4 linked regions of the Schizosaccharomyces pombe genome follow. The protein of the gene in region 1 interacts with the protein of each later gene in a biochemical or structural test. Each region holds a gene or a part of one and is shown in the gene's direction. Other genes may lie near its edges. The genes, in order: rum1, lkh1, pop1 and cdc13.

What was found.
Region 2: the proteins of rum1 (region 1) and lkh1 form a complex in vitro, tested with the Schizosaccharomyces pombe proteins (one study listed by BioGRID).
Region 3: the proteins of rum1 (region 1) and pop1 form a complex in vitro, tested with the Schizosaccharomyces pombe proteins (2 studies listed by BioGRID).
Region 4: the proteins of rum1 (region 1) and cdc13 form a complex in vitro, tested with the Schizosaccharomyces pombe proteins (2 studies listed by BioGRID).

The regions. Positions count from the first base shown.
Region 1 is NC_003423.3:2,797,763-2,802,449, forward strand, and holds rum1 (CDK inhibitor Rum1), read left to right. Parts: upstream 1-1,914; 5' UTR 1,915-2,826; coding exon 2,827-3,519; 3' UTR 3,520-4,155; downstream 4,156-4,687. UniProt on the Schizosaccharomyces pombe protein: Regulator of cell cycle G1 phase progression. Ensures the correct sequence of S phase and mitosis in the cell by acting as an inhibitor of the cdc2 mitotic kinase. Probably interacts with cdc2 to inhibit its action until the cell mass for Start is reached.
Region 2 is NC_003424.3:655,548-662,198, reverse strand, and holds lkh1 (dual-specificity), read left to right. Parts: upstream 1-2,021; 5' UTR 2,022-3,366; coding exon 3,367-5,439; 3' UTR 5,440-5,958; downstream 5,959-6,651. Other genes in the region: 3' tRNA-processing endonuclease tRNAse Z L2 Trz1, read right to left, coding at 5,959-6,651. UniProt on the Schizosaccharomyces pombe protein: Protein kinase that may act as a negative regulator of filamentous growth and flocculation. Appears to have a role in normal cell wall and septum formation and in cell separation.
Region 3 is NC_003423.3:3,467,507-3,472,417, forward strand, and holds pop1 (cullin 1 adaptor protein Pop1), read left to right. Parts: upstream 1-1,621; 5' UTR 1,622-1,836; coding exon 1,837-4,164; 3' UTR 4,165-4,379; downstream 4,380-4,911. Other genes in the region: beta-glucosidase Psu2, read right to left, coding at 1-23; synaptonemal complex-associated protein hop1, read left to right, coding at 4,813-4,907.
Region 4 is NC_003423.3:418,341-423,813, forward strand, and holds cdc13 (G2/M B-type cyclin Cdc13), read left to right. Parts: upstream 1-1,770; 5' UTR 1,771-1,968; exon of another isoform or gene 1,969-2,095; intron 2,096-2,321; 5' UTR 2,322-2,782; coding exon 2,783-4,231; 3' UTR 4,232-4,928; downstream 4,929-5,473. Other genes in the region: exocyst complex subunit Exo70, read left to right, coding at 1-879, 933-969, 1,071-1,136; protein dsh1, read right to left, coding at 4,929-5,258, 5,329-5,398, 5,442-5,473.

The DNA.
Region 1 (4,687 bases):
AACGGAGGGCACATTACTGACTCGTGAAGGTGGACGAAGTCTAGAGGAAGTTTTAGAAATTATACTTTTTCTATTTGAAGAATTGAGACCATTATTAGGAATCGAACTTGCTACGGATGGCAAGTTGGATGTTGGTATAGTAGGAGCAGAGGAGGTGGCCGATTTTGGAATTGCGGATTGGCGATGACTTGCAAAAGATGAAGAAGGAGTCCTAAGTGAGTTTGGGTTAGAAGTCGTAGCCATGCTAACCCGAGAACGCACATTCATGGATGAAGACCTTGGGAACATGGGAAGGCCTAGAAGGTACATATGAAGATGCGGCTCTTCTTGCAGGTCGGACCTTTGGATCTTTAGACCTTAATAACCTTTGCTGCTGTTGTTTTTGAAGAGCTATAGCTTCCTCTTTTTGCCTTCGTTCTTGTTCAAGTCGTTCTTGTTCTTGTTGTAATTCGATCTTTCTCTGCTCTTCGGCTTGTATTTGAAGCATTTTTTGATGTTGCAATCTTTCTAATTCTTCATTATCAAAAGACAAACCTTTCCAGTCGCTATTTAGTATTAGATTCTGAGTATGCTCCGTTTGGCTTAGAACCGATGACCATAATTGTATTAGACGATTCGAGTTGTTAATGGAGGTTTCGAATGACTTTATTTTTTCTTTAGAAGCAGAAAGACCATCCGTAAGCTTTTCTATAGTGTAATTAAAGCTCCTTAAAATCTGTAGTTCTTGTTGCAATTCAGATGTCATGTTCAAAGAAAAAGATAGACTATCCTATTAACTGAAGACAAGAAAAAATCACTAAAAAATATATAATTAACTCAAGTATAGAAAATAATTTCTTGTGTGCAATTTAAGCCTAACAAAGTATTCGATTGAAGATGTGCGAATTGTTTAAAGAAATTCAGTACAAAGAGTAGACGAAGGTTGTTTTTATTTTTTTTTACAAAAAATATAATAAATTAAATGAAACAGTTTGAAAAGAAAATTGCAGCGACTCCAGTTGTCCCTTAGAATAAGAACGATAGGAAATATGAGGCAGAGGTTAGTGTTTACACAGGCAGAGAAGAAGAAATGAATTGAATAAAGAGTTAGTTATGTGCATTACATTTTGATAATAGTTTTTGAAGAGGAAACATATTTTTAATTTTTAATTTAACGAACCTATCATTTTAATTGTTTCATTTGGCAAATGCATTGATACTATTTATTGTAAACAATAGGTAATGAAGCGTAAAATAAGTCATAACATGAACATTCATTTATGAATATTTTAATTATTGACCAATATGTTTATAATATTTTTTGATAAATTATGTTAGTAGCGTATTCCTTAAACACATAAATAAACATTGTCACGATTTAATTTTTAACAATTGTGATATATTTTGGAAATACTTAGCGATGTAGCAACCGTGTATTTACTTTGCATATTGCTGTTCCCATTTCGATTTGAAAATGGTGTTTGAAAGATAGTCGATTCTTCATAAATCCATTTTTCCTGCATTTGAGCTAAGGTAATAAATATTGCTTATACCATCAATTTGCTAATAAGGAACAATCTTAACGAAATATCCCTTGAATTAGTTTTGATAGTACTTGCTTTTAAATAACAATAAGAGACTTATTTCATTTACCATACTCGCGAAGTTTCTTCTTTATTAGAACTTCAAATGTAGTTTACTTTTATTTACGGTTTTGCAGTCATATATTTTTATTTTCGAACTGGAATATTTCTATGATGCTTAAAATTGTTAGTAAATTTTTTAGATTTTTGCTAAAGAGAACAGAAAATCGATTCTCATTTAAAATCTAACTACACATTTATGCAAAAATTGTACTTGATCAAAGTAATTAATTTAGCGTACTGCGTTACAGCCATCTAATAGTAATGGTTACCACGAAATGAGCAAATAACCAGTTAACCAGAACGTCAAACATACAGTTCTACTACTACATACATAAGCTTTGGGTTCCTTGACAGCGGTTGTTGCAAACTGAATTTTTTTGTTTTGGATTATATATAATATACAATCAATTGATCTTGTTTAGTCTTGATTCGTGTGTGTTTACTTGAGTGCTGCAGTAATATATTACTAAATTGTACGAATTTGGTCAAAGAGAATCCGCTTTTTTATCAGTTTTTTATTTTTAAAATTTAATTTTGAATTATACTCTTTACAAGGAACGGTAGCATCTTTATAAGAAATCGAGCATTCAATTTCTATGTGAAAAAGTTGAATTCGTCTAAGCAAACAACCAACTAGTTTTTAAATTCTAACATTAGAAAGAATATTTTTCCTTGTTAATTATTCTATTTACAATTTTAAAGTTGGCACATATCTTTTTTTGATTGGTTGATTCTTTGATATTTTAGCTGCACTTACTTCTTGGTATGAAGTGAAATTTTGCTTTTTAAAATAGACATTTTCCCATTCCCGTTTTCTAAAAGATTCCTTTTTTTTGTTTACTCCGAAAATTTCAATACCTTTCTTACAAGCTACAATCCCATTTTGTTCCTTCCTTTTGATATATTGAAGCCATTTCAATTGTTTCTATATTATTTCAAACAATTTTACAAATATTGTTTAAATTGTATAATTATCAAAGCGCAGTCGCTAGCTTGGTGGGTATTAAATTGTTACCTTTTCGTTTGCTACAGGTAACTTGTGAACATTTCTGGTGCTGAATTTTCCTACACCCAAAAACCATTGAAAAATACATTTTTTAAATCATATCGGAAAGCTTGAATACACGCTCTTCTGATAATCCGCTCGATACATAAAGGATTTCTTCTTGCATTTACCTGGTTTTTGGATTGTCAGTTCGCTATGGAACCTTCAACACCACCTATGCGAGGGTTGTGTACTCCATCTACCCCAGAGTCTCCTGGGAGTTTTAAAGGAGTCATCGATGCTTCGTTAGAAGGTAATTCTTCTATTATGATAGATGAAATCCCTGAAAGCGATTTACCAGCACCTCAAGTTAGCACATTTCCACCTACACCTGCTAAAACTCCCAAAAAGCAATTACTACCAAATTTAATGCTACAAGATCGGAGTAATTCTTTAGAAAGATGTATGGAAGAAGACAGAGAACACAATCCTTTTCTCAGTTCATCTGATAACCAGCTTTTGTCAAGAAAGAAGAGAAAGCCTACTCCTCCTCCTTCTGATGGTTTGTACTATGTTTTTCGGGGGAAAAGAATCAAGAAATCCTTCAGGCCTGGAACTGATTTATCTACTTTTAAGCCCAAACTCTTGTTTGCTGACTCGGCGCCTTCTTCTAGTTCAGATAACCCAACATCCTCTGTAGACCTTAATGACTATTCTCAAATTGGCATTCTCCCTCCAAACCTGAATTCTATTGGGAATAAAATGTTCTCGTTAAAATCAAGGGTTCCATCTTCCTCGTCAGGTTCCTTTGTTGCTCCCCCACCGCAAATGCGTTTACCTGCGTATTCATCACCACAAAAATCACGATCTAATACAAAAGATGAAAACAGGCACAATTTATTACGATAACTTTTTTTCGCATTTTGTAATTGTGTTTGATACCGTTTATATAAATGCCCAATCACGAAATACTCTTCTGCCTTATTCATGATAATCGTTCGTTTGAACTTTTGGTAGTAGATCAGAACCTCCTATTCTCTATTCTTGATGAAAATGCATTTTGACAAACGCTGGTCGTTAGTCATTCATGGTAATATCACCACAATATCACCACGATTTTCTTAATTGAGTATCTATAATTACATTTCCCCATCTTTCCATTTGTGCCTATTCATATTCCATTTGGCAACTTAATTTTTTATCGTCCTCCCGTGTCTGCCCTGAGCCATTGCAACTTTTTTTAGCAACCTTTTACGGCATGCTTTGAAATATTATACGTTTAACTTATTTCCTAATTTCATCCACTGAGCTTTTACTTTAAGACTTATACTAATATTACATGGCTTTCACAATTTTCTTTTCTTTGTTCAGAGAGTGAATATATTCTGAAATGTTGTATTTATCGATTAGTTAATAATGCTATTCGATTTCTAAATTTTTTGCTGGTTTGGAAACTATAGTCTGTTATTCTCAATAACTAGTTTTATATTCAATTGTTTTATCCCAGTAATAAAAAGGTATTTTTATACCGCATATACAATACTATTCTAGGCTTCTTAGACAGTTATACACATTACGGTATTGCTGTTACATTGAGTTAATTTGTGGTTTGGTGATATAGTGAAGTTTACTAGCTGGTACTGAAATCCTACAAATGGATAACAAAACTGGTTCTAAGCGTATGAAAGGAGTCTTTGGGTAAAATTATAGTGTAATATCGTTTCGTTCATTGAAGTAATAATTAGGCCTAACCGACTCTACTTGACTAACATTTTTTCTTCACACCATGAAGCATGATGAATAATGTATTTATTTATGTTACCTGAGCGGTAAGATGATTTGTTTACATAATGTCACTTTTATTTACATTTGCACTGCAAAATGACAACAAGGAAGCCACTTACATCACAGTGAAGTTCGTTAAAAATTCGTAACTCTTATATTTACATGGTACCCGTGTTTCTCCCCTCTACCATACTGAGCATATAAAATAACACAAAAGTTAGTGAATCATTTTGTGGCATATCCGAACACTCCTTAGCTTTTTACGAAGCAAAACAAGAAACGATTAATAATA
Region 2 (6,651 bases), on another chromosome or scaffold:
TGTTACTATGTATAGCAAGATTAATTAACATGTTATTGTTATTTGTTATTATGTTTTTAATACTATGTATTTATAGCATCTGTAATGTCTGCGTTTTTCAACTGCCAAAGAGCGCATTTTCTACAAGTTTCGGTTAATGTTGCAAATAACCGATTAGACTTTCATGTCATGACACTTGATTTCACTTGTGCTGACGCTTTTTTATGAACGGCATATCGCTGTTCAGCTGCTTTACCGACATGTAATGGCCAAATCTCGAGCTTGACACTTTGTAAAAAGTCTCAATAATAATTCCCCATCCACAACTGACATACATAATTGATAGTACTTACTAGCCTTTACCCTTGCCAGCCAGACAGCTTCCACTGTACTGAGGTCAGGGATCATGACATAGACTGATTGCAAATTACGAACAAGACCGTCAATCTGCACTTTAGCATCTCCTAAAATAATAATCGTTAAAGCCGACTAGCTATTAGGGATGACGGGAGGAGCAAAAAAATAGCCTGAAAAAAGAAAAAGAAAAGAAAGCGTATTTAAAGAAAGGTTAAAATTTTCTTTGTTCTTTCAATAAGTAAGCAGTTTACTCCTGGTCCAGAAGTGCGACGGACCTTGCGTGCCGGTAAGGAAGTTGCAAAAAAAAAAAAAAAGGAAAAAAAGAACCGAGATAAAGTTGACTTTCAACTTCCGTCTGCAGTAACCGGATTTCCCAAAAATTTCAACGGGTAATTCAATTATGCAAGGGGATTGTCATTCTTTTTTTTACATTTTTGAGTTTCACGACACATTAGTCCCTTAATTGCAGCTACAACCATGCCTTGTTGCCTATTTTTTTCCTTTGCTTAATTACAATTTCTCACCCCATTTGAAGTCATGTTGATTGAATTTTTCACATCCCGTTTTCAAGCTCTAACATCAGTCATTGTAGATGATTGATTGTAGAAAATTATATTTGTTTCCTTTTCGCGACCATTAAATGATTATTCAATAGTTGATGAATTATTGCCTTTGTTGTTTTGTTACTCATCATGGCAATTTTATCGTATTATTTGTTACATAGATTATTGTCATCCACTAAATTTTTTGATGGCCAAGCGTCGCTGTTTGGACGAAATATTCGATTACCGAGGACGGATGGCCATAATCAAGACTAGTTTGGTAAGAGAATTTGGCAGATGGGCTGGACGACATTTGTTGAAAGTGTGAGAAACGCTTCTGAAAAGGCATGTTTTCTATATTTCATTTCTATTCTGGTAAAGAATTGTGCGGAATACTATACCATGGACAAATGGGGCGGGCGACAAGGCAGCTACAGTATAAGCGGGCATATAGCATTCATTGTATAATACAGTATATAGTACATGGTAGGTAGAGTTGGATAGAGATGGTGAGAATGACAGTTGCATTATTTATGCGTAAAACTATATGTAAATTTTATAACTATTTATGTAAACATGCGTTTATATATGTGTATGAGTGTGCATGCTTGTGTACATTTGTGTGTGTGTGTATGTGTGGTGTGTATTGATGTTTGAATGGTATGATGACAATGATAAGCCATTTCTTACGAAAACTCCTTAAGTGAATATGGTTGAGTTGAATGGAGCGGCATTTGAATGGTAAATGATTAGTGATCTAAATTAATGAAAATTCATTCAGCGCCTCTGCCTCTACGGCCATGGCGGTTTTCGTAGATCTCAGCCCTTCAGAGTAGCAAGCGTCTCTTACGCTATAGTTGGGTGACGGCTAGGTACGTTGCATACTGCGCACATGGTGTTGTGGAATGTGTATACTTTTTCATAGGAAGGAGGTGCCAAACGCAACGCGCCTGGATGGTGATTGTTGGGTTGTTCCCTCGTCCGGCCAATTTTTTCCAGCTATTTTATTTTAAGGATAGAATAACAATGATGTTGTTCCGGTCTCACAAACATGATTATCTCATGCAAATTTCACCTTTTCTAAGTGGCTTTACCAAAGAAAACGCAACTTATTATTATCCAAACTCTTGCTAATTCCTTTTTACTTTCTCCACATCCCTCGAATTGGCTTGAGGCTTTTTCTTTTATCCTTTCTATCCTCAATTACTAGTTTTCTTAGCAGTTGTATTATTAGGACATTGCTTTGTTGTTTTACCCCCCCCCCATTGGAATTACATTCTGTGGGATTGAAGGAAAGAAAAAGAAAATTGCTTATTAAGAGTCGTATATACTTCATTCTTCAATTTACTACACTCACTACTTGCTTTTCTCCATCTACGATCTACCATTTTGTTAGGTAGACTTTCGTACTACAGCTACATCGCTTGTCGTCGACTTTGTGTGCTTTTGAAAACTGCCCTGGTAATTGCCGATTCTTTTGGGGGTTATTTATACTTTTGTTTTATCCAAATTACTAATCCGCCTGATTTGGACATTGATCAATTTTGGTAGTAGCGCAATCGCACCCCCTCAAACACAAAAACCTCATCATTGTCTCATGGTACAATATTGCCTTGGAACATCATTACTTTAAAGCAATACGATTGATACAAAGGTTTCCGCTAGTTGTTGATTGAAGGTTTGGTGTTTATCGTTTTTTCGTGTTTGATTTGCCTTTACAGACCCTCCGTGTTCGGCATACTTATTCTCCGGTATTGTAGATATTTATTTCTCTCCGATACCTTTTTGCATTTGCTGTTTCTCTTTACTGTTGCACCCTACATTTGATTGAGAAAGGGGTTTAGTGGTTGTCGTCAATTGTCTTTATTCTGAGAAAACGGCTTTCTTCTCCCTGATATAAGAAACCATTTGGTTTGATAAATATATTTCAAGTTCACTTTCTCACTGTTTTCCGCTTCTTTGCTGATTTATCGTTTGATCGACGGCCTTGCAATTTTACAACGTCGAGAATTTTAACTTCTTTCTTCGTGATTGCATTCAAATTTTGAAACTCTTTCGAAGTAGGTGTACCAGTTAACTTGATTGCTCATTCTTCCTCCCATTCTCTGCTTCTTGATGAACTAGCTGTTCTGGTCCAACACCAATTGTCGAATGCTTGTCAGTTCAGTTCTATTGCTTTAATTCGTCCATTTTTTATTTTTATTTTTTAAATTCCGCCTTTCTATTTTGTTCTTACCCTTCGACGAGTCGAAAAAAAAGGTTTTTTATTGCTTTTGTCGCTTGGTGACTTCGAACAAGGAAACTTTTCCCCTTATTATTGTTTGAGAAACACTTATTTTCGGTGGTTGGTATCTCTTTTCATCATTTTTGCTTCTGGTTTTGCATAATTCTAAAAGATACTTATCCCTTTTTTCAGGTTTCGACGTCTTCTACCTCTTCACTTTACCAATTTGCTCGCATGACTTAGACGGAATCTTTTTATTGTAAAATGCATTCCTTAAAACGTCGTAGAAATCATGCGCCTGATTGGCAGGACTTTTATAAAAATGGTGTTCCACAAGAAGTCATTGTTATAGAGGACTCAGCTTCTCCACGGCTTACCCCTAATTTACCGCCTCCTTTTTCTGTTCATCAATTACAATCCTTCGTACCTCCGCAACCTCCCTCATCATCATCACCCTCTACCACTGGCACTGTGGCAGTCCCTATCAATGGTGCGAATGCTGTTTATCCATCAACTAACTCGGTATCTCTTCCTCAATCCTATGATCCATGGTTGGATGCTAATGGCGTCGTTCCATTACCGCATGATGTCGCCAGCCATCCTTCATATATGGTTCAGTCTCCTACATCGTATCATGCGTGTTCAAATAATCAATCGCCATTTCCCCATTCACATCATCCTCCCCTTCATAATCCACTACCTGTTTCATGTCAACCTGTTTTACGGCCGCCTCCTGTCCCTCAAGTTCCTTCACACTGGTACCCGGTTTCGCTTCCCTCTCCTAATTTACCTCACCAACCAATTTCTAAACCTCCAGTGATCCCTAATTTACCAAAGCTCCAAGTCCATCCGAACAGGCTTCCACATCCCATCCATAATCATCCTTACTCGTCTCCAACCTCTTATCCTCCCCCACTATGTCCTGCAACGTATTGTCCTTCTAACCCTCCTCAGCTAGCTCCGGCTACTGCTATCGCTCCTTCCTCGCAATCGTCTCAACATAAAAGTGTAAATTATTCCGTCACCCCAAGTTCCATTAACAATCATACCGCTGTACCATTATCTCCAACGCTGGCCGTATGGCTTCCGATGACTCAACCAACTTTCCAACCTCCTTCTGCAAACGTTTATCAACCGGCTTCTAATGCCAATCAAGTTATCACTCCTGTATCTATTTCCGATTATCGACCTCCGAAGAAAAGGAAGCGAGCTGCATGGCCCCCATATAAAAAAGTCGACCGCGTAAATGTTCCTGTTGTGCATGATACTACCGCTTTTGATCCATCAACTTTTGATGATGATGACGGTCATTACAAGGTTGTACCTAACTCCAAATTTGCCAACCGTTATACAGTTGTTCGTTTGCTTGGGCACGGTACTTTTGGCAAAGTTATCCAGTGTTACGATCAAAGTACAGGTAGACATTGTGCTATCAAGGTGACTCGAGCAATTCCAAAGTACAGAGAAGCTAGTCTCATTGAATTAAGAGTTTTACAAACTATAGCTCATAGTGATCCGACAAATGAAAATAAGTGCATTCAGTTACGCGATTATTTCGATTACCGCAAGCACATCTGCATTGTGACTGATCTTTTTGGCTGGAGTGTCTTTGATTTTTTAAAGAATAACAACTACATTCCTTTCCCTTTGAAGCATATTCAGATGCTATCCCAACAACTTTTTAAAAGTGTTGCGTTTCTTCACTCTTTGGGACTAGTACATACCGATCTTAAACCCGAAAATGTTCTTCTGGTATCTAATGCCTCAAGAACTATTCGATTACCTTATCGGAATTATTCACAGAAAGTCCTTAATAGTTGTGAAATCCGGCTTATCGACTTTGGTAGTGCAACATTTGAAGATGAATACCATTCCAGTGTAGTGAGTACTCGTCATTATCGTGCTCCAGAGATTATTTTAGGGTTGGGTTGGTCTTATCCTTGCGATGTTTGGAGTATTGGATGTATTTTAGTTGAGTTATTCACGGGACAAGCCTTGTTTCAAACCCATGAAGATAGTGAGCATCTGTGCATGATGGAAAAAATCCTGGGTCCCTTTGATAGGAATATGATTTCGCGTTCCTCTCGTACATCGCAACGTTTTTTTAAATCTGACGGAAAAGTCCGTTATCCTTTGTCAAATACGCCTAAAAAAAGCATTAATTATCTTCAATCTCTGCAAACGCTAGAGCAAATATTTGCAGTATCATCTCCAGAAGTGGCTTTGCTGCTTGATTTATTGAAAAAAGTATTCGTTTACGATCCTAAGCGGCGAATAACTGCAAAAGAGGCCCTTTGGCATCCCTTTTTCACCCAACCAATTTCTTCAAATTTGTGATGGATAAACTTAGAGATTTATAATTTACTTCATGTTTTTCAATAATTTTCACTCTTTCTAATTTACAAATCTACGGAAGTCTCGTATTTCTGGTTTGTGTTACGCTTTAGCTGATGTTTATTCGTTTGTTATTATTCAGTTTCTTAGACGAAAACTCGCATGTTCTACAATTACTTTAATTGCATAGAGTACTTGGTTATCCGATATAAATTAAAACTCAAAATTGTCCTCTTTTTAGATTATTCCATAAAGGTTTGATTAAGTCGTCAATTACACTCGTAAATTTTGGTCCTTGGGTTAAATAGTAGTTACTCAGTGAAATAAAAGAAAAAAAGATCATTAATGGTTTTCAGGACTATTTTAATAGATACGGATTACCTTGACAATTTTTTTGAAGTCTGAAGTATTTTGTTATGAACATAATTGTATAATGAAGAAAAGGTTTGCCCATTTCATTAAACAACAGAGATCACTTGCCTGAGACCCAATTTATATAATATGAGACAATAGCTCAAGTAGTTAGAACTTTAAAGGATCCGACTCCTCTTTTAAATTTTCCTCATTAAATAGATAAGCCAGAGGCTTTCCAAAATAACGAAACAATGAGATATCCGATATTTTAAGAGTCATTCCATCAAACGCCAAAGCTATATGTAAGTCTTCTGTCGAAATATCAATGTCTGGTAATTTGGGATATCGTTGGCTAAAATGAGTCAAAATAACGTTTTTTGTACCAGCTTTTTTGGCCACTTCTAAAGCTTCAGAGTAAGTACTGTGTTGCTTTTTTATTGCAATTTCGTGCATAGAGTCTTCCAAAGTAGCTTCGTGAATTAATAAAGTTGAGTCTTTGGCAATGTTAGCAAAATCCTCAGAAGGTCGAGTATCTCCAGAGTATGCGATCTTCCAACCACTGGAATTAGTAATCTCCATGCAATATGAATACGGGCAGTGTATGGCAGGAACCGTTCGAAAAGATACTAAATCAAATTCTTTAAATAAAGAAGACAACCTAGAGGATTCCAAAGCAGACGGCTTCCTGTCAGTACGTAAAGCACTATTGGAAATAAATACGATGTTGGATAATGGTAGATAATCAATCCTTGAGTATTCTAGTAGCCAAAATTCAAATTGTGGAGGTGCTGTTATAAACAACTTTGATCTGCCATCTGAGTACTTCGTCCAAGCCTTTAAAACCCCTATAACACCAGCATG
Region 3 (4,911 bases), 670 kb from region 1:
CAAAGAAAGTTGTTAAAGAGCATTTTTAGATTTAAAAGATTTGACAGGAATCTAACGATTGACTTTATAAACGATAGGATATGCTAGTAACTTGATACTAGAAAATAAAAGAAAGATGGTAAAGAATATAATGGTCTTTACCTTTTGCGGTTCTGATTGTTTAATTTCAGCTCACGGCTTTTCCCTAAAAATCAGCTCAGCTTTATATACATTTCTTTTTTCAAGCACTTCACCATCTTTTGATTAAGAGCCGTGGCGTTTTGCCACTAATTAACCATGAAAGCCTGTAAGTTTTCAACGTTGATTTTTTCAGAAAATTTCTAACCATAAACCCGAAATAATTAGCGCCAAAACAGTCAACTATTGCGCTCCAATCATTGCTTGCCTTGCTATCGGCTTTGTATTCATTGGCTGATAACTTAATTAAAAATGAACTTAAAAGTCAGTTGATAAATTCAACCAATTAAATGCGTGAATTTGATCTACCCCAGGAAAATTTATACTGTCCCGGGGTCGCGGGGCGTTCAATCATTCATTTCAAAGCAAATTATTATTATTTCCAAGCCAAGTAATTTAATTTTTGTTTATCGCTTTAGCTTTCTTATCATAAGGAAGTTCTTGGTCCCCTGGGCCTTTTGCAATTGAATTGCGCGGTGTACGTAAGCCTAATGACATCCCTGTATACCTAACTTACAAATACGTTGGCTCGACTCAACGTTATATTGATTTTCTCCTAATACTATTAAATATATTTAATAATCTCTTGGGAAAGTAATCTGGTACATACAAATCATCCTAGATATAAGAGGCTCGGTGCATTTCGGCAAATGATGTTCTGCAGCTCATTAAATATGATATAATATTAATTAATTAATATCGTGTTTACACTCGGTTTATCGGTTTGCTATGCTAAGAACTTTTACGGATAACAATTTAATTATTTATCTTGGTAGCGTATTTGACGCTTCTTTGGATACTGAGATTAAGTCAAATTTTGAATGGAGAGAAGTCGAATAATAGCCCAATGCCTGCCGAAATTACCCGATGCATGTCATTGACGAGACAAAAAATTTCTTTCAACGGCCTAAGAAAATGATGTACTAGAAACGCCATCTTAGTCTGACATTTTACATTTTACGCTCATGCTCAAATTTTATTAATAAATTATTATATGTGTCCGTGTCATTTAGAATATGACAGGGGAGGGTAATCTCTTTCCCAACTTTATTGGCGTGTAATGAAATTCGCGAGCTACTATTGTGTCTGCATTCTTTAGCTGCAAAAACGCAACGGAAAAGACAATTTTATAATATGAATACTTCACGTGTTCATTGTTTTTGTCTTTAGAGAATTTATTTGAAAATGCTGAGGAGGTTAATATCTGGTATACAATTAAAACACTATCGCAAATAATGTAAAAAAAAATAATATTGAGGAGCCATAACTAAGTCATATAACTTTTCTTATTGAACTATTGTTATGTCGCGATTTAGTCGTATTTACCATAAACTATAAAAACTTTTCTTAATCAACAGTAAAATTGTTACTTATTCTGGTGTTACTTACACCTCCGCTTGCGTAGAGTGAATTTAAAATTCATTGCCAAGAGTTTATGGTCTTTACGATCTATCTCGCTGAACTTCAAAAAAACCAAGAAAAAGTATTGCTCTAATGCATTAAGACGATAACTATTTGCAAAATAATTTCATATACATGTTTCCCAACGGGCAGTTGTTTTAAGTAAATTCATCAGTATCGATTCTTGAACCAGGTTCTCTAACATCATAAAAGAACTTGACAAATACTTTTCTACTAAGTGTCTGTAAACTACTTGAAATGAATGAGAAGAAAAAAGATAGCCTATCTGTTTTAGATTCCAATGAATTTTTCGGTGAGACAACTATGGTATCACCGAGTATTGATGTTTCCTCTTCTCCCCGGCCAAATGTCGAGAGATTTTCTCCATGTTCCACTAAAAAAGATCTCCTGGAAGGAAATAATATAATGACCAGAATTCCCGAGGAGCTTAGTCGTGTTAGTCTACAATTTGATAGCAAGGGAAGTCAGCAATCGATGATATTTACTAACAATCGATGTTTATCTGATAAAGAAAATTTGGAAAACTTGCAAAATCTTTTATATCTACATTGTGATCTTAACCGGCCCCATTTGAGTTGTGAGCTGCCGTCAGAGCATCGCGAAAAGTGCCTTAAACGCCGTAACTCTAGTCTCAGCTCTAATTTGCATGCTAATAAGCGGTTTCTCTTCAATTCTCAAAGTGATGGGAATAAAAAGAATGAAACTTTTCCTTCTACTAACTACTCGAACGTTTTCTACCCAAACAACTGTGACAGTAAGGAAGTCGCTAGTGAAACAACATTCTCACTTGATGCACCAAATAATTCTGTTAATTACTCTTATTTTTCTCCTAATTTACTCGGCAACGATTCCAAAACCCGTCAATCTTTTCCCCCTCATTCATCTTCATCTTCACATAATTCTTTGCATGAACCTGTCATATATGATTTTTCTTCAGAAAATCCTAGCATTCATCCTTCTAATCATTTGAGCTCTCAAAAAAATGCTGTTTTGAAATTAGCACAATTAATTTCTTCCTTCGAAAAATTACCCGAAAGTGTTCGTCAATACTTACTTTTTCATCTTCTTTCTCGATGTGGAAAACATGCTGTTCAAAATATTCACAAAATTCTGCTTCCTATCTTTCAAAAGAACTTTTTAACTGGATTTCCGGCTGAGATTACAAATTTAGTGCTTACGCATTTAGATGCACCTTCATTGTGTGCAGTTTCGCAAGTTTCGCATCACTGGTATAAGTTGGTATCGTCCAACGAAGAACTTTGGAAAAGTCTCTTTTTAAAAGATGGTTTCTTTTGGGATTCAATTGATAGTAAAATCCGTACGATGTGTTTAGAACAATCTTTGTCAGCCTGTGCGATAATGAAGCGGGTCTATTTTAGACATTTTAATCTTCGTGAAAGATGGCTCCATGCCCCGGAGAAAATTAAGCGATGTTCATTCCCAATTCATGGAGTTCGTCTTATTACCAAACTTCAGTTTGATGATGACAAAATAATTGTTAGCACCTGCAGTCCTAGAATTAATATATATGACACGAAAACAGGTGTCCTGATACGCAGTTTAGAAGAGCATGAAGGTGATGTTTGGACTTTTGAATACGTTGGGGATACTTTGGTTACTGGCTCCACAGACAGGACAGTAAGAGTCTGGGACCTTAGAACCGGTGAATGTAAACAGGTGTTTTATGGACACACGTCAACAATCCGTTGTATCAAAATAGTTCAAGGCAATCAAAGTACTACTGATACTGATGATGTGGAAAAAGAAAACAGACCAGCTTCAAATGATGCTAATTCAATGCCTCCGTATATAATTTCAAGTTCAAGGGATTGTACGATCCGTTTATGGAGTCTTCCATGCCTTGACGATCCACCATTTGTTAATGTAAATGAAAATCCTGATCAGAATAATGACTTTACTTCAGCTACGACCAATCCGTTTTACATCCGAACATTACGTGGTCATACGGACTCGGTACGTGAAGTTGCTTGTCTTGGAGATTTGATTGTCAGTGCCAGTTATGATGGTACTCTTAGAGTATGGAAGGCATCTACTGGCGTTTGTTTACATGTTCTTCGGGGACACGTCGGGAGAGTATACAGTGTCACAATTAATCCTTCTCGTCAACAATGTATCAGCGCTGGTACGGATGCTAAAATTCGTATTTGGAACCTTGAGTCTGGAGAACTTCTACAGACCCTTCATGGTCATTCGAATTTGGTAAGTCAAGTTACATTTAACCAAAATATCTTGGTATCCGCTTCTGCTCCTCCTGATACATCGTTGAGAGTTTGGGATCTAAACACCGGAAGTTGTCGAGATATTTTAAAATGTCCTTTGGGACACATATTTTTTCAACACGACGAGAGCAAAGTTGTCAGTGGAAGCCATAGTACGCTACAGTTATGGGACATTCGTTCCGGAAAGTTAGTAAGAGACCTATTGACTGATTTGGATATAATCTGGCAAGTTGCTTATAATGAAAATGTATGTGTGGCTGCTGTTTTAAGAAATAACCGTTTTTGGATCGAGGTCCTAGAGTTTGGATCTACTAAATCTTCTTGAGCTTTTATAAGTTGAGATACTAGAAATCTATAAAAGATCTCGAAATTTTATTTTACGTTTCCAAACTGAAATAGATTCATGCTATTTATTCTGGAAACTCCTCTATCATATAATATTTGTCTAATTGTTTGTTGACTTTTAAATGTTTACTCATAATTTTCTTTTTTAAATATCTAATAAGAATGCAAAATAATATTTTTTTAAATGATCTATTCTACATTTATAAATTATTTAGTGTTAAATTCGTTTGTTGAGGCCAAAATTTTTTTACCAAAGGGATAAGCGAATTTCTTGAATCCTTAGCTTCAAATAGCGTCCATTCTACCCAAAAGCGTACTATATTTTTATAATTAGCAAACTATAGTAAATAAAAAAACAAACATTTTAGCTTTGTAAATGTAAAAAGACATTTAATTTAACAAAAGGCTTTTACATTACTTCATAAGCTACCAAATGTCTTCATCGTAAAACATGCTTTTCGCATTCCATTTATCTATGTAAGCCATTTTAGTGTAGTTTAAAGTGTTGGAAAACCACAGGTGGGACTGTAATATACGTACACTTAAGACGCGTTCGACGCGTTCACAAAATTACCATATATAGATATCAACTTATCAAATACCCTTTACTTCTAAGTATAAATGACAAATGAATTCATACAAAGAGGAAATTCTGCAAACTAAGTCTGACTTTACTCTTAAAAATTTAATTTTCTTCGCGATATCAACATTATGCTATAAGCGGTAC
Region 4 (5,473 bases), 2.4 Mb from region 1:
TGTCACCAATGCCACCAGACAGCTTGAGGGAGTTTATGAAAAAAGAGGTGCTGCAGAAAATTTTGTTTTGTTGTCTTTAATTGATTGTATCGTTGTTACACGCCAAAACATGAATAATCTTATGCCTTTTGAAGATGCTTCTTTCCTTGGTTTTGTGAATGGTGTTGGTCGTGAAATGGAAAAGATATTGATTTCTTCTATATCGAGGCTGTATAATGGCACTTGCCATAACAACAAAACAGTCCCTCTCACAACTGATAGAGTCAGTGAAATGACTCATGGTATTATGAGTTTCTTGAATGAACTTGCTGAGCATGAAAATGCCTCTTATTTGCTTGAAAGTATTGGTAATTGGGGCTGGAGACACGAAATTAATGCTGATCTCAGTCCTGCGCGCTCAGTTCAAGACATTACGAGGAACTATGTTATGGATTGTATGGATTCCTACCTAACTTCTGTTCAAACAGCTGCCCAGGCAGTGGATACGATTGGATGGAAAATGGGCGTAATGCTTTTAAACATCAGCGTCTATTTTGAAGCAAAATGTCTTGAGTCAAAAATTGCATCATTTTTACAAGACGTTGATTTAGAAAAGCTAGGAGATCGATCACAAAAGTACTCAACCATGTATATGGAAGTTTGGCGACAGTGTTCTCAAAATATGCTCGATTCTACCTATACAAAATCTCAAAACAAATCCACTATGTCTGCTAAAGAACGAGAGATTACAAAGGAAAAATTCCGAAACTTCAACGAACAAGTTACATCTGTTGTTCAAGTGCATCGTGAATCTGTTAGGTTTGAAACTGGTGTTGCCACTTTTCTATTGCAAGAAGTTAAGAAAACTGTACTACCTTTATATCAAAGGTTCTATGATAAGTATGAAGATCAATTAAAAACTGTTAGTTCCACTATAGCTAACCTCTGTTTAGATACATCAACAGTGATTTTACAAAAAATAAAGACAAGGTATGTGTATTGAGGATTTGTCGATATTCATTTGCTAGTTTATCGATGTGTATATACATTTAAGTTGTTATCGTTTTTCATTTTGCTTACTCATTACGTAGTATATCAAATTTACAAAGGCTGATTTAGATTCTTTTATTACAAGCGCGTTTGCTCCTTCCCTATGATTCAATATGATGAATTTGGGTCCTTTGAAATTCCATAATATAGTACTAAAGTGGGTGTACTGGCATTCTCACTTTTCTTTGAAGCATTTGACTGATGTAAATAAAGACGGACCATATCTCAAATTCAAAAATTTGACTTCTATTTTACATTATTAAATCGTTCCATATAATTTTTTTAATTATTAACTCCCCTTTTTTGATGACTTTGTTGTTTACCCTGCTCAGATTCTGCTTACGAGTAAGCTACCCACTAAATATTGTAATTATTAAAGAAAACTTGAAGAACTAATTTTTAATTGCATTTCCCAAGCAATCATGTTTCGATTATATACGTTCTTTACTTTATATAATGTGCCCAGCATAATTTCATAGACAATAACATTATTACCTCTTTTTTACAATAGTGAGGTAGCTCATATACATTAAATTGTGGTTCCATATCTCCGTTTTCTTATTTTTACGAAACTCGTGTTTGTTTTTGTTTAATATTTATATTATTGTTTACATTGAAAATTACCATATTATTTGATGTTTGTATTTGTTTCCCAGCTTGCCAACGTTGCGTTACCCCGACAACCCCATAGTGTTTACGCCCTCTACGATACTCCTTTCAGTCGACTCCACTACCACGAGCTGTCCTTAACCAGCATCTTGACGAGTTTTTACCCTTAAACGACATTCCTGCTCATAGAAATATAAGCAAGAACAGGACTTTTCCCCTATTAGTCACTGTCTAGAGCTAGAGGCGAGAAAAGAAGCGGAACCTGGTCGGTTAAGCAAAGCTTGTTCTTTCGTCTTGTCTTCTTGCTTGTAACAAGAGCTTAATCAGATTGTAAGTAATGTTAAAGGCTGGGAATACAGTTTTGGTTGTGTAAGAACATTTTCATACAATACGACCTTCTGAAGATGTGAAAATTTCTTCCCAATCAATAGTCACCCTTTTTCCTCGACTTCACCTAGTTCAGCGAAAACATGAAATCCTCTTTAAGTCTAACTTCATTTCTTTTTATTTTTTTATTTTTTTAAAATTTATGAAGGGATTAAGGGGTGGGTGCTGTAAAACATGGGGGTTTAAATTTAAATAACTACCCATTTTATTTTCCTATCAAAGTTTCTTTTTTTCATAGGATAATCCTTTATTGTGCCATTTTGTTTTTTCATTAGATTTACTAACGTCATTTAAAGTCAACATTTACCCTTCTTTTCTTGTTCTGGTGTTAATATAGGAAAATCGTACATCGATTCTACATATAGCTTCATTTCAAAGTTCAGTTTCGTGTTCTACGTTTCCTATATCCATTGTTGGACTTCATCGCAATCCCCTTACTTTATTGAAAAAAAGAAGTCTCAAAAGCTCTTGCCAAATTCTAGATTCGGTCAAAGGCTATTATTTTCTCCTTTATACGTACGAGAAACATACATTTTTGCTTGGATTTTATCCTTAAAATTTTTGTATAAACTTTCAAGTATAACTCATTCTATTTTATCTTCTCCGTCCCGTACTACCCCTTCACGTTTTTAGACACTTTAAAAAGGTTGTTCGTTCAAAACCTCTTTTTTATCATTTCTGTTACCTGAACCAATTAATATTTTAATTTCCCTTCCTCTCTTTCAATCCCCGACAGAATTCGTTTCTTCTTTTCCTCATGACTACCCGTCGTTTAACTCGCCAGCACCTATTGGCAAATACCTTGGGCAACAATGACGAAAATCATCCTTCAAACCATATTGCCCGTGCAAAAAGCTCTTTGCACTCTTCAGAAAATTCTTTAGTAAATGGCAAGAAAGCCACTGTGTCTTCCACCAACGTTCCTAAGAAGCGTCATGCGTTGGATGATGTTTCCAATTTTCACAACAAAGAAGGTGTTCCATTAGCTAGTAAAAACACAAATGTCAGACACACTACTGCTTCTGTCAGTACCCGTCGTGCTCTCGAGGAAAAGTCTATAATCCCTGCAACAGATGATGAACCCGCTTCCAAGAAGCGTCGCCAACCTTCTGTTTTTAATTCATCAGTCCCCTCGTTACCTCAACACTTGTCAACGAAATCACACTCTGTTTCAACCCATGGGGTTGATGCTTTCCATAAGGATCAAGCAACTATTCCAAAAAAATTAAAGAAAGATGTTGATGAACGCGTTGTTTCGAAAGATATTCCCAAACTTCACCGTGATAGTGTTGAGAGTCCCGAATCTCAAGATTGGGATGACTTGGATGCAGAAGATTGGGCTGACCCTCTTATGGTTTCTGAATATGTCGTTGATATTTTTGAATATTTGAATGAGTTGGAAATTGAAACTATGCCCTCTCCTACTTATATGGATCGTCAAAAAGAGCTTGCATGGAAGATGCGTGGAATACTTACCGATTGGTTAATTGAAGTGCATTCTCGTTTCCGACTGCTTCCTGAAACATTGTTTTTGGCCGTAAATATTATTGATAGATTTTTATCATTGCGGGTATGCTCTCTTAACAAACTACAATTGGTTGGCATTGCTGCCTTGTTCATCGCTAGCAAGTATGAGGAGGTGATGTGCCCTTCAGTCCAAAACTTTGTATATATGGCGGATGGTGGGTATGATGAAGAGGAAATTCTTCAAGCCGAGCGCTACATTTTGCGTGTCCTAGAGTTTAATCTTGCTTACCCGAATCCTATGAATTTCCTACGTCGTATCTCAAAAGCCGACTTTTACGATATTCAAACAAGAACTGTTGCAAAGTATCTTGTTGAAATTGGTCTTTTAGATCATAAACTTTTACCTTATCCCCCTTCCCAACAGTGTGCTGCCGCTATGTACCTTGCCAGGGAAATGCTTGGACGTGGACCGTGGAATCGTAATCTTGTGCATTACTCAGGTTATGAGGAGTACCAATTAATTTCCGTTGTTAAGAAGATGATTAATTATTTACAAAAGCCTGTTCAACATGAAGCTTTTTTCAAGAAGTATGCCTCCAAAAAGTTTATGAAAGCTAGTCTTTTTGTTCGTGACTGGATCAAGAAGAATTCTATCCCTCTTGGCGATGACGCTGATGAAGATTATACTTTTCACAAGCAAAAACGTATACAACATGACATGAAAGATGAAGAATGGTAATTTAGTGTATTGTGCATATCACTATCTCAACCTCTTTCAATTGTGAATATTCCAACTTGTTCAAGCGCTCTTTATATGTGTATTAGTTTATCACTAATAGCAACCGTAATGTCCTGTAAACGAGTCGCCGATAATTCCTAATGCTTTTGTTTTTGTTTTGTTCTATTATTATATGCTCGGGTACTTGAAGATTGCCAGATGCATAGTACATGCTGGTGTCATTATGAAACCAAAATCATTTGGAGAAGTGTAATTATGGATGCCTTTAAATTATCCCACCTTTAAGTCTTAGATTTGATTATCTGTCGCATATGTGTTTTGATCTATGTGGCTAGTAACGTTATAACAATTGTGTTTCTGCTAATGATGCTGCTTTAAACAACTACGAGTATTGTGCTATTATTTCTTTTTTACAATTAGGACCTTACGATAACAAAATAGTACTATATTTTCTGGATGTTGAGCTACTTGCCGATTGGGAATCCCATATCCTACACCATGAGTCGGAGTAATATTAATAATAATAATGATAATGATAGTTCCTTGAGGTGAATACTACTTTATTATGTTCATAGCTTGCAGAACGTATATTGCTCATAATAAAAATGAAAACAAATAACATCTAACTCTCGATAGACAACTTAAACCAAAACATTAAATGTGTTTCTTTAAAAATAATATCGTGATCCTTTTTTTATTAATCAATAGTAGATCGATTTACAGCCATAACAATGGATTGTGCCGTTTCGATAAAATGTTCAATGCCCATAGGGAAAAATTCCGATATCAGTGGTTTATAAGATGGAGCTTGCCATTGCTGTTTATGTTGATTATCAGCTAATAGATAATCCCATTTTGGATCCCAAAACGAGAGTCCATAACGAAGAACCGAAGTGTCAGAACCAACTTGGTAACATTGGAGACCAGGTTCGAAGTCTGTATCTATATCTTTAACTTTGCCCATATCGTGTGCTTCAAACCGAGTTATATGCAAATGAAAACCGGAAGATAAATGCCAATATTTATGCTAAAATTAGTTAACTACTTACTCAAAAATTGTAAAAACCAACAGTAATGCCTAAATGAACTTCATTTACCTTCAATTTGACAACTAGACTCCGAACTTTTATGTCTCTGGTATTCATAAAATAGATTCTTCCATCATCACTTTATGGTCAGCTTATAATTTTCTTTTAATAGTCAGCCTTACGACATAGAAATATTTGATATGAACTCTTTGTA